Linked DNA regions of Xenopus tropicalis. The protein of the gene in region 1 interacts with the protein of each later gene in a pairwise test. Links are inferred from orthologs where the notes say so. Each region holds a gene or a part of one and is shown on either strand. Other genes may lie near its edges.

Region 1 (4,280 bases):
AGAGGGACAATTTCTAGCAGGGCATCATGCTGGCGACAAAATACCGGGATTCACCCCATTGCCTTTTTGTTTATGTTTTGGAGCTAGGGAATAAAGGAGTTAACTTACATGTGCTGTGTCCAGGAACAGTTTCCTATGCATGGCCACTGAGCACTTGCTTAGAAATGATTTCTACTGGTGCTGAGAACATTTTCATGCAGAACTCTGATTAAATAGCATGGCAATGTCACACACTATGCCAGGAATTATAAATCCCACATAAAATTCCAGAAGACATACCTTGTAGCCATTGGCTAGAAGCTCTTTTAACTTCCTGGGAACCTCTGGATATAAAATTCTGTGAGATCAAGAGAAACATAATTATACACTGTGCACTGGTGCAAACAATAAAATTTGCCATATTACTTGCTGGTGAAAGTGAATGCTAAACAGTTTCCAGGCTCCCAAAAGCTACATTAAATTCACGCAAAGGAAATTTTGTTCGCATAAAGGCATACATTTTGTGCCCTGTGATTATTTTTTCCATAGTGCCTTTAATTACTTCCCCCCATAAAAGTGTTAAAAGGTTTTAGACTTAAATGCCGAGATAAAATGAACGCTTTTATTTCCTTTTAACTTACTTCCAATCATCAGCGTTTACAGGGAAGACTCTTCCTGACTTTGTTGTTATAATTGTCCCGTCAATATCAAACCCAGCAATCTGCAAGATGAACAAGTTAGTGATTTATAGCTGCTTTGTACATTGTATGCTCTGAGTGCAACTCATTGGCTTACAGACTGCAATAAAGATTTGTTTAGAAGCTACCGTGCTAAAGCTGGTTATACACTTAAGGGTGAAGGGTGACCCGGCCTAACATGCAGTTCTTGAGGGTAAAGACACACGGAGCTACTAGTAGCAGCTACTAATCATAGCTAGTAAATGCCAGAATATACCGTGCCATAGACAATACTGAGAATTGCCTTTGCTAAAACACATGTAGAGACATTTATCAGTAAACCATCAGCATTGTCTGTTTTAGTAGCCGTGATAAGTTGATGCTACTAGTACCCTAAAGAACTGCATGTTTGGCCAGATCTTTGCATGATTTTGTCACCCACTCACTGGGCCTAATTAAGCTGATATAATTTTTGGTTTACGAGACCTGGGTGAGAAAAGTATGGTAAGGAATGTATCAACATGGCAATGTGGTGCTGATCGGATGGGCTTCTCAAACCAGCCTGATAGATACTTATCCCGTATATCAAGAGGCCCCATACATGTACGAATAAGTGGTCTTGATTTGGAGGGGCCAAGCTGGCAGCTATTATTGACACATGCAGGCCAGCTTAAGACCTATATATGCCCTTAAACCCAACAGAAAACTAATGGATTTAATACCTTAGAACTGGCCTGAACCCCTTTCTTGTTAAAGAGAAGAAGCTTCCCATGTTCTTCCCAGGAATCTTTGCTACAGGCAACTCCTCTCTCATCAGTTGAAGAAACCTGAGATGGGTTCTCGCTTGGCTTAGCTTTAGCCGCCGTTTCCTGCAAGTGAGACAGTTTGCGTGCTATTTCCTCCTCTTCTGAGTCATCCCACTCTTCTCCAGCCTCAGCTTTTGGGTCCTGGTACTTTGGCTTCTTGTTGCTTGATCCAGTGGAAGTGTTATCGTGCTGTATGCGCCTCTTTCCTTTGGATGTGGAGGCCCCAAAGAAATCTGTTATTGTCTTCTTGGATGATGTGGAAGGGGGTTCAGTTATGGTGTTCTTTGGTGATTTCTTATTGATTTTTCCAGTGTCAGCAGCAGGTTTAGGACTATCTTCCTTAAACATTACAGTATATGGATGTAGCCTATTCACCAAAAAAAGCGTCTGATCTTCTTTCATTAAAATGCTCTCTCCCTTCTTCAGCACTGCTTCTCCAACTGAGCAAGGGTTTGCACCCAACTATAAGTAAAAACATGAAGTCAGGTTAATTACACTCACTAAAACATAGTCTATAAACATACAACAAATGTCATTAGTGCCAGATTCTGGATAAGGACATACATGGTCATTGGTCAAAGACACACAAATAATTAAGTCACCCGGGATACATGCTCTAGTCAAAGTGTTGCATTTGATTGGTTGCTTCAGATAGTGATAAAGTAGTTACACTGAAATAAGCTGTATAGAGCTTCAATTATCAGTCATCTCCAATACAGTAGGTATCTTACCTGGGTTACATGGACTGCTCTGTTCTCCAGATTAGCCACAAGTTCCACTGGAAAAGAGCATTTTTTAAAATGTTTATTTTTTATTCATAAAACCACTTTTTTCACAAGGATGTTGAAGGTGCTACAAGTGTTCCAGTCCCACAGGTCAAGAGTAGATTCCCTACTACTTACTGTACTTTGTTGAGGCATTTGTGCCCTGGGTGATGCTTTGGTGGATACCAAGGAAAAGGAACCCTCCATAGCCATAAGGTAAAGGAATGCCCCTGCTCTACCATTAAGCCAGACCTTCCCTCACACTGTGATGAAGGAGGGTCTGAAGACAATTACCTCTGCAATGCCTTTGTACTGAGGGATAAAAGGGCCCTTTCCTTTCTAAAGAAAAGCCTTTTAGGCACCTGAGGTTAATCTCTGCTACCGCGGGTGACTAATCTCCCCGAAAACCCTTTCCACCAGCAATATATTTTTTACATGGGTCCCTACCTTGAGTCTTAGAACACTTCCTGTCTGTTACAAGGGTTTCTGGTCCTCTTCCTAAAGTGACCCCTTTACCATCAGGAAGGGCAATGGGACTGTGCTTTGCATCAACGCTTCTCAAGTAACACTTCATTTCCACGGATTCTGTGAAATTATAATTAGGATTATAGGGTGCAAAAATACACAGTCAACAGAGTGAACAGGGCCCTCTTGTCAATCACTGTAAGCCTTTCATTGACATATTTAGTATCATCATGTCTCTCACCTCCCCATCTACCCTCATCTTCCAAAATACAGTGCATTTGGATAGGGCCATGCTAGGCATTGTATTCACTTGTTTGGCCCCAGCTTCAAATAACCAGCAATGAACTTTACATTTAGGGACTTTATCAGGACTAAATACTATTGTGTTTAGCAGAGACATCAGCTAGCTCCATTTCTTCAGGGCAATAATCTAACCCTGCCATTTGTCCCTTGACAAGCCACAGCTAAACTGTTACTATCATGCTACAACTCCCAGTAGAATGTGAGTTACACAGGACTATCTCAGATGGGCCTTTTCTGTAGGATTGGAAAAGGCGAAAACTTGGGCAGCCAGTGGTTCTTAAAAAACACTTAACTGTTTATTAGCCTGAGCCTATCCTCTTGAGTACCTATGTCGATGGTGAGACACATTACAACTTTAAAAACTTAAAAATGGCTATGATGACCCTTCTTTCCTGCTTTTTGGGAAAACACACTCATAGGGAGCAATGTGGGCTATCTCTAACATTTTGATCCCACACATGCATAGCCGACATATCTGCTTTTATCAATAATAAGGTCATTATCACAATGCACATCAGACTTGCAACCAACTGCACCTACTGGCTGGCACTGGACCTGAGCTGCCATGTAGCAGAGGATATGGCTTAAACTGGCCATACACAAGTGATAAAGGCTCTGACTCTACCCCTTCTGGTTAAGTCGGCAGCTTATTGGCCTGAATATGGCATCCCCCAATCAGGCTGCTGACTGATATTTCCTTGAAAAGTGGCCACACATCTTCTCAGAAGCATTGGCCCACAATGAGAGCTGTATTGATACACATGTATGACCAGCTTAGCTCTGCTACTAAGTACTGCATATACCTAGCAACCTAAGGAAACAAGCCAGGCATGGAAATGCTTACATATAAAGTACAGATCAGCTTTATTGCTTTATAGATATGGGGACCTTTGGCACACCTGCCTCACATCCCGGGCTTATGTCCTTAATACACATGTTGAACTAAAAACCCCAGCATGGCTGTGTGGCACTTCTCACGTGTATCAGTCCTGCTTGATTTGGCAGCCCAACACCACAATTATGTATAATGTCAATAAAGTATATTTTTCCCACTAAAAATTTAAATATATAACTTTGTTTATAAAGCTCTGAACTCTTTTTTGTAACATAAAAAAGTCGCTTTTCTTGGTTCCCCCCACTTTCCAGCCCTGTGTTACCCTTTATCTACCAACTACATTATATTTTCCATTGCAGCCTCATGTTGGCTCCAACCTTGGAAAACTAAAATCGGGAATAAATGCCCCAAACTGCTTTCTTGCAAGGCAAAGGGGTTAAATTAGGACTGG
Region 2 (4,145 bases), on another chromosome or scaffold:
TTTGGAAAGATTTCACAGTTCCAATTTTATCATAATGAACAGCTTGTTTGGGATCTTTAATAGAGATTATAAGATGGGGTTATTGCTTTTGTCTCCTAAAGCTGGCCATACACGCACCGATACTATTGTACGAAACCTCGTTTCGTACGATATTCAGTGCGTGTATGGCATGTTGGCGAGTCGACCGATATCGCAGGAAGCTGCTGATATCGGTCGATTTGCCGATCGGACCGGTTAAAAGATTTTGATCGGGCGCCATAGAAGGCGCCTGACCAAAATCTGCCGTCAGAGCTGAATCGGCAGAAGGAGGTAGAAATCCTGTTGTTTCTACCTCCTTATCTGCTGTTTCAGCCCCGACGGTGTGTGGCGGATCTGACAATGTTTCGTGCGACCATCGCCACGTGTGTGGCCACCTTAACTTGTAGTTTCAGTCTGCATTTTAGGTGCGATTTATAGTTATAATCTCTTACTTTCTAATGTTATGTATGTAATCTGGGCTATATTAGTACAGGTATGGGACCCATTATCCAGAATGCTTGGGACCTGGGGTTTTCTGGATAAGGGGTCTTTCTGTAATTCAGATCTCCTACCTTAAGTCTACTAAAAAATTATTTAAACAGTAATTAAACCCAATAGGATTGTTTTGGCTCCAATAAGAATTAATTATATCATAGTTGGGATCAAGTACAAGGTACTGTTTTATTATTACAGAGAAAAAAGAAATCATTTATAAAAATGTAAATTATTTGATTAAAATTAAGAGTCTATGGGAGATGGCCTTTCTGTAATTTGGAACTTTCTGGATAATGGGTTTCCAGATAAGGGGTCCGATACCTGTATTTCGATTGCTGGATTTCCTTGGGTGCCCCATAATAATTTCAGCCCTGTTTCCAAGCACTGTGAAACTTCAAAACAAGTTGATACTGGAACATAATCTGTTAAAATGCTTTGCCCATTTTTTGCCTGTGTGAATGTATAACCAATGTTTTAAAATAAATAAGTAATCTATTCTCCAATCAACAGAATATGTTTCAGAGAAATGTGTATAATCTTTTGTGTTTGGGTTGAAAGATCTCCTTACTAGATGCACATGTCAGTGTCAGACTGAGGCAGCTGTAGCCACCTGAGGACCTGACTCAGAGGCGCCCCTCATACTCATATAAATCCATTTGGCTGCTTTGTAAAGCAAGTGGATTGTGACAAAGGAATGTTTTATGAACATGTAGCATGTAGCCCGTGAGCAGCCCTTCCCCTACAGAATTGCGAGCTGGCAGTCTCTCACAGCGCTTTGTGCTATGGGAGCCCAGTAGGGGGCGCTGTGACGCTTCTCGCTTCCCCGCGCCCTTCTCTTTCCATTTTGTCCGTCGTTGGTCTGGGGCCTTGGGGAGGAGTGATCTCCATGTTGGTTAAGTTCCCGGCCTGTCAGCTAGAGAAGGACATGTCCTGGGTTATTTCGATCCATTTGGTGTACGCTTAATTCCGTGGCCCTCTGAGGAACTCAGGTGAGACTCAAGATGGATGCCATAGAGGAGATGCCTTTTTTGCAATATCTTGTGCTACTTTTAATCGTGCAAATCAGTTTGCAGGGGCTAGGATTTCTCATTTTGATTCTAATTGAGGCCCAGGCATTCATTCCCTATTTTTGTATGAGGTTTAGTGATTATATTACGTGTGTGTGTTAGAGTCTCGTAATGTGTGTACAACGGACTCACGTAGTGTGTGTGTGTGTGTGTGTGTGTGTGTGTGTGTGTGTGTGTGTGTGTGTCGCACAGGCAGTGTGGCTATTATCCCAGGCTCACACACTTACATGGTGCAATTCATCATGTATACATTCACATATTCTCCTATTTCCCTATGGCTAGGAAGAATACGAGTTTGTAAATAGATCTGTCTTTGTCCCCATCAGTCATTTATTGGGACACCCGCTATATAGAGCTTGGTACCTGCACAACGAGTTCTTATTGAGCAGAGAACTTTTACAGGGAACACTCATTTCTTGCCTTTATATCTCATCATAAAGCTGTATAGTATGTAGCCTGTGTGTTGCCAGAAACACCAACTGAGCATGAGCCGTAGTAATAATAAAATAGATATCTTTGTGGGCTAATACATTCTTTATTTATTATTCACATCTCACTGTGACTTCTAATATTGGAAACCAGATTCAGGGCATTCTCTTGTATCTACTGACTAGTACTGAAGGCTGATGTCATTTTGGACATCAAAAATTGCGTACAAGTCCTTAGAACCAGTTATAGGTTCTGGTTTTAAGTCCAATCACATATACTTGAACCACAGGAATGTATGCAAGTTTTTCTTAAAGGACATGTAAAGCCTACATTTGCCTACAATGTATATCAGTTGGGCACGTCTCCCCCACCCAAATGGCATCATTTGTACTGCATATATCCCCTACGCTTGCCAGCACCATCACATTTTCCTAAAGCAAATAGCAGCTTTCACCTGGTGGCCATATTTCCTCTGATACATTTAAATCTGCAAACAGCATATACACACACACAGACCCTTATTCAGCATACATTTCATCAAGAATACAGGCTCACACAGGCACAACTGTCTTTGATAAAAGTTCTGCTTTGTTTGAGCTGAGCTAAGGAGAGGAGGTTAGGAGAAAAAAACTGAAGCCGGCAGCTACTAGGCAGCAATGCCGTCTCTTCACTGGCTGCTAGACTGGGGGGCGTGTTTAATAATCTGAGTTTAGAACAACTGAGCATGCCCACAAGCCAACAGCCAAAGCAAATTCCAGAGGGAGGGGGCCGAGTGGGTTAGAGGAGGAGAAGGAAATCTAAGTGATAAAGGGGACAACCAGTGTGCCAGGTAGTGCTGGGCGGTATACCGCCATATACCGAATACCGTTTTTTTTTTTTTTAAAAACGATATTCATTTTTGAAATACCCCCATACCGGTGAAGATCGGGGTGCGCCCGTGCGTACTGACGTCACGTACGCACGGGGCGCGACCCGAAGCGGCAACAGAAGCGGCACGGGCCGCATCGCTGGCCAACTTGCTGTATGGGGGGTGGTGCTTATAAATAATAATCCTAATTATAAGAGGAAAGTGGGGGGGAAAGCTTCCTGCTTAGCTGGTCACATGCTCCCTCTACTGGCGCCTCACTGGGACAAACCATACAAAATTGCACATTCCAAGTACAGAACTGCATGAAGCAGTGCTTCATATACCGATTTAGAACCTCTGAGGAATTGTACCAACACAAGCCTTTCCATATATTTTCAACTTTGTTCCCTGTGGATTAAATACTAATTGTTAGAGCTGGGCGGTATGACCAAAAATTTATATCACGGTATTTTTCAAAATTATATCGGTATCACGGTATTTGACGGTATATAAATAAAAAATAAATAATAAATATTGGTGGCCCCCCACCCCCCCCAACAACAACCCCAACAACCCCAGCCCCCCCCAACACCAACCCCAGCCACAACCCCCCCAGCCAGCCCCCCCAGCCACAACCCCCCCAACCCCAGCCACAACCCCCCAGCAGAACTTACCCAACTTGTTGTTCCTCCAGCTCCAGCGATGCGTCCTAGCGACGTCGCGTGCGCGCTGACGTCACATGCGCGCCGACGTCACGTACGCACGGGCGCAACCCGGATGTGATTGGAGAAAAACAGCAGGAGGCGCGCATACCGGTATAGCGGTATGTTTAAAACTCATACCATTTTTTTTTAAAAAACCGGTATACCGGTTAAACCGGTATACCGCCCAGCACTACTAATTGTCTCAATAGCAATATTTAGGGGCCCTGGCCACCAATGTTAATTGGAAAAAAAAATACCGTCAAATACCGTGACACCGATATAATTTTGAAAAATACCGTGATATAAATTTTTGGTCATACCGCCCAGCCCTAGTGCCAGGTATTTAAAGATTTCAAAGAGGCTGTTCACTGATTACGTTTTTGTGTGTGGGGTTTACATGTCCTTTAACATAGTGCCTTGTGTGCATACAAAGAAAAAAAAAAGTCCCAGACTGTTCTGAATGCTGAAGACTTATTTTTCAATTAGGCCATCATTCAGGAATTTTCTTTTTTTACAAGCAGACTAGTGGGCTACATAGATGGAGGCTAAAGGGTGCAGAGCTGCTTTAATGTGTGCAGCCTTTGC

The links. The genes of interacting proteins can lie anywhere in the genome.
Region 2: the proteins of pnkp (region 1) and znf639 interact in binary tests that used the Homo sapiens proteins (3 or more experiments, as listed by UniProt). The two-hybrid records come from large-scale screens. The link is inferred for Xenopus tropicalis from reciprocal best matches to the Homo sapiens genes PNKP and ZNF639.

The regions. Positions count from the first base shown.
Region 1 is NC_030683.2:117,566,168-117,570,447, forward strand, and holds the start of pnkp (bifunctional polynucleotide phosphatase/kinase), read right to left. Parts: upstream 2,801-4,280; coding exon 2,674-2,800; intron 2,241-2,673; coding exon 2,194-2,240; intron 1,925-2,193; coding exon 1,379-1,924; intron 701-1,378; coding exon 621-700; intron 338-620; coding exon 280-337; intron 1-279. UniProt on the Homo sapiens protein: Plays a key role in the repair of DNA damage, functioning as part of both the non-homologous end-joining (NHEJ) and base excision repair (BER) pathways.
Region 2 is NC_030681.2:108,913,948-108,918,092, reverse strand, and holds the start of znf639 (zinc finger protein 639), read left to right. Parts: upstream 1-1,345; 5' UTR 1,346-1,502; intron 1,503-4,145. UniProt on the Homo sapiens protein: Binds DNA and may function as a transcriptional repressor.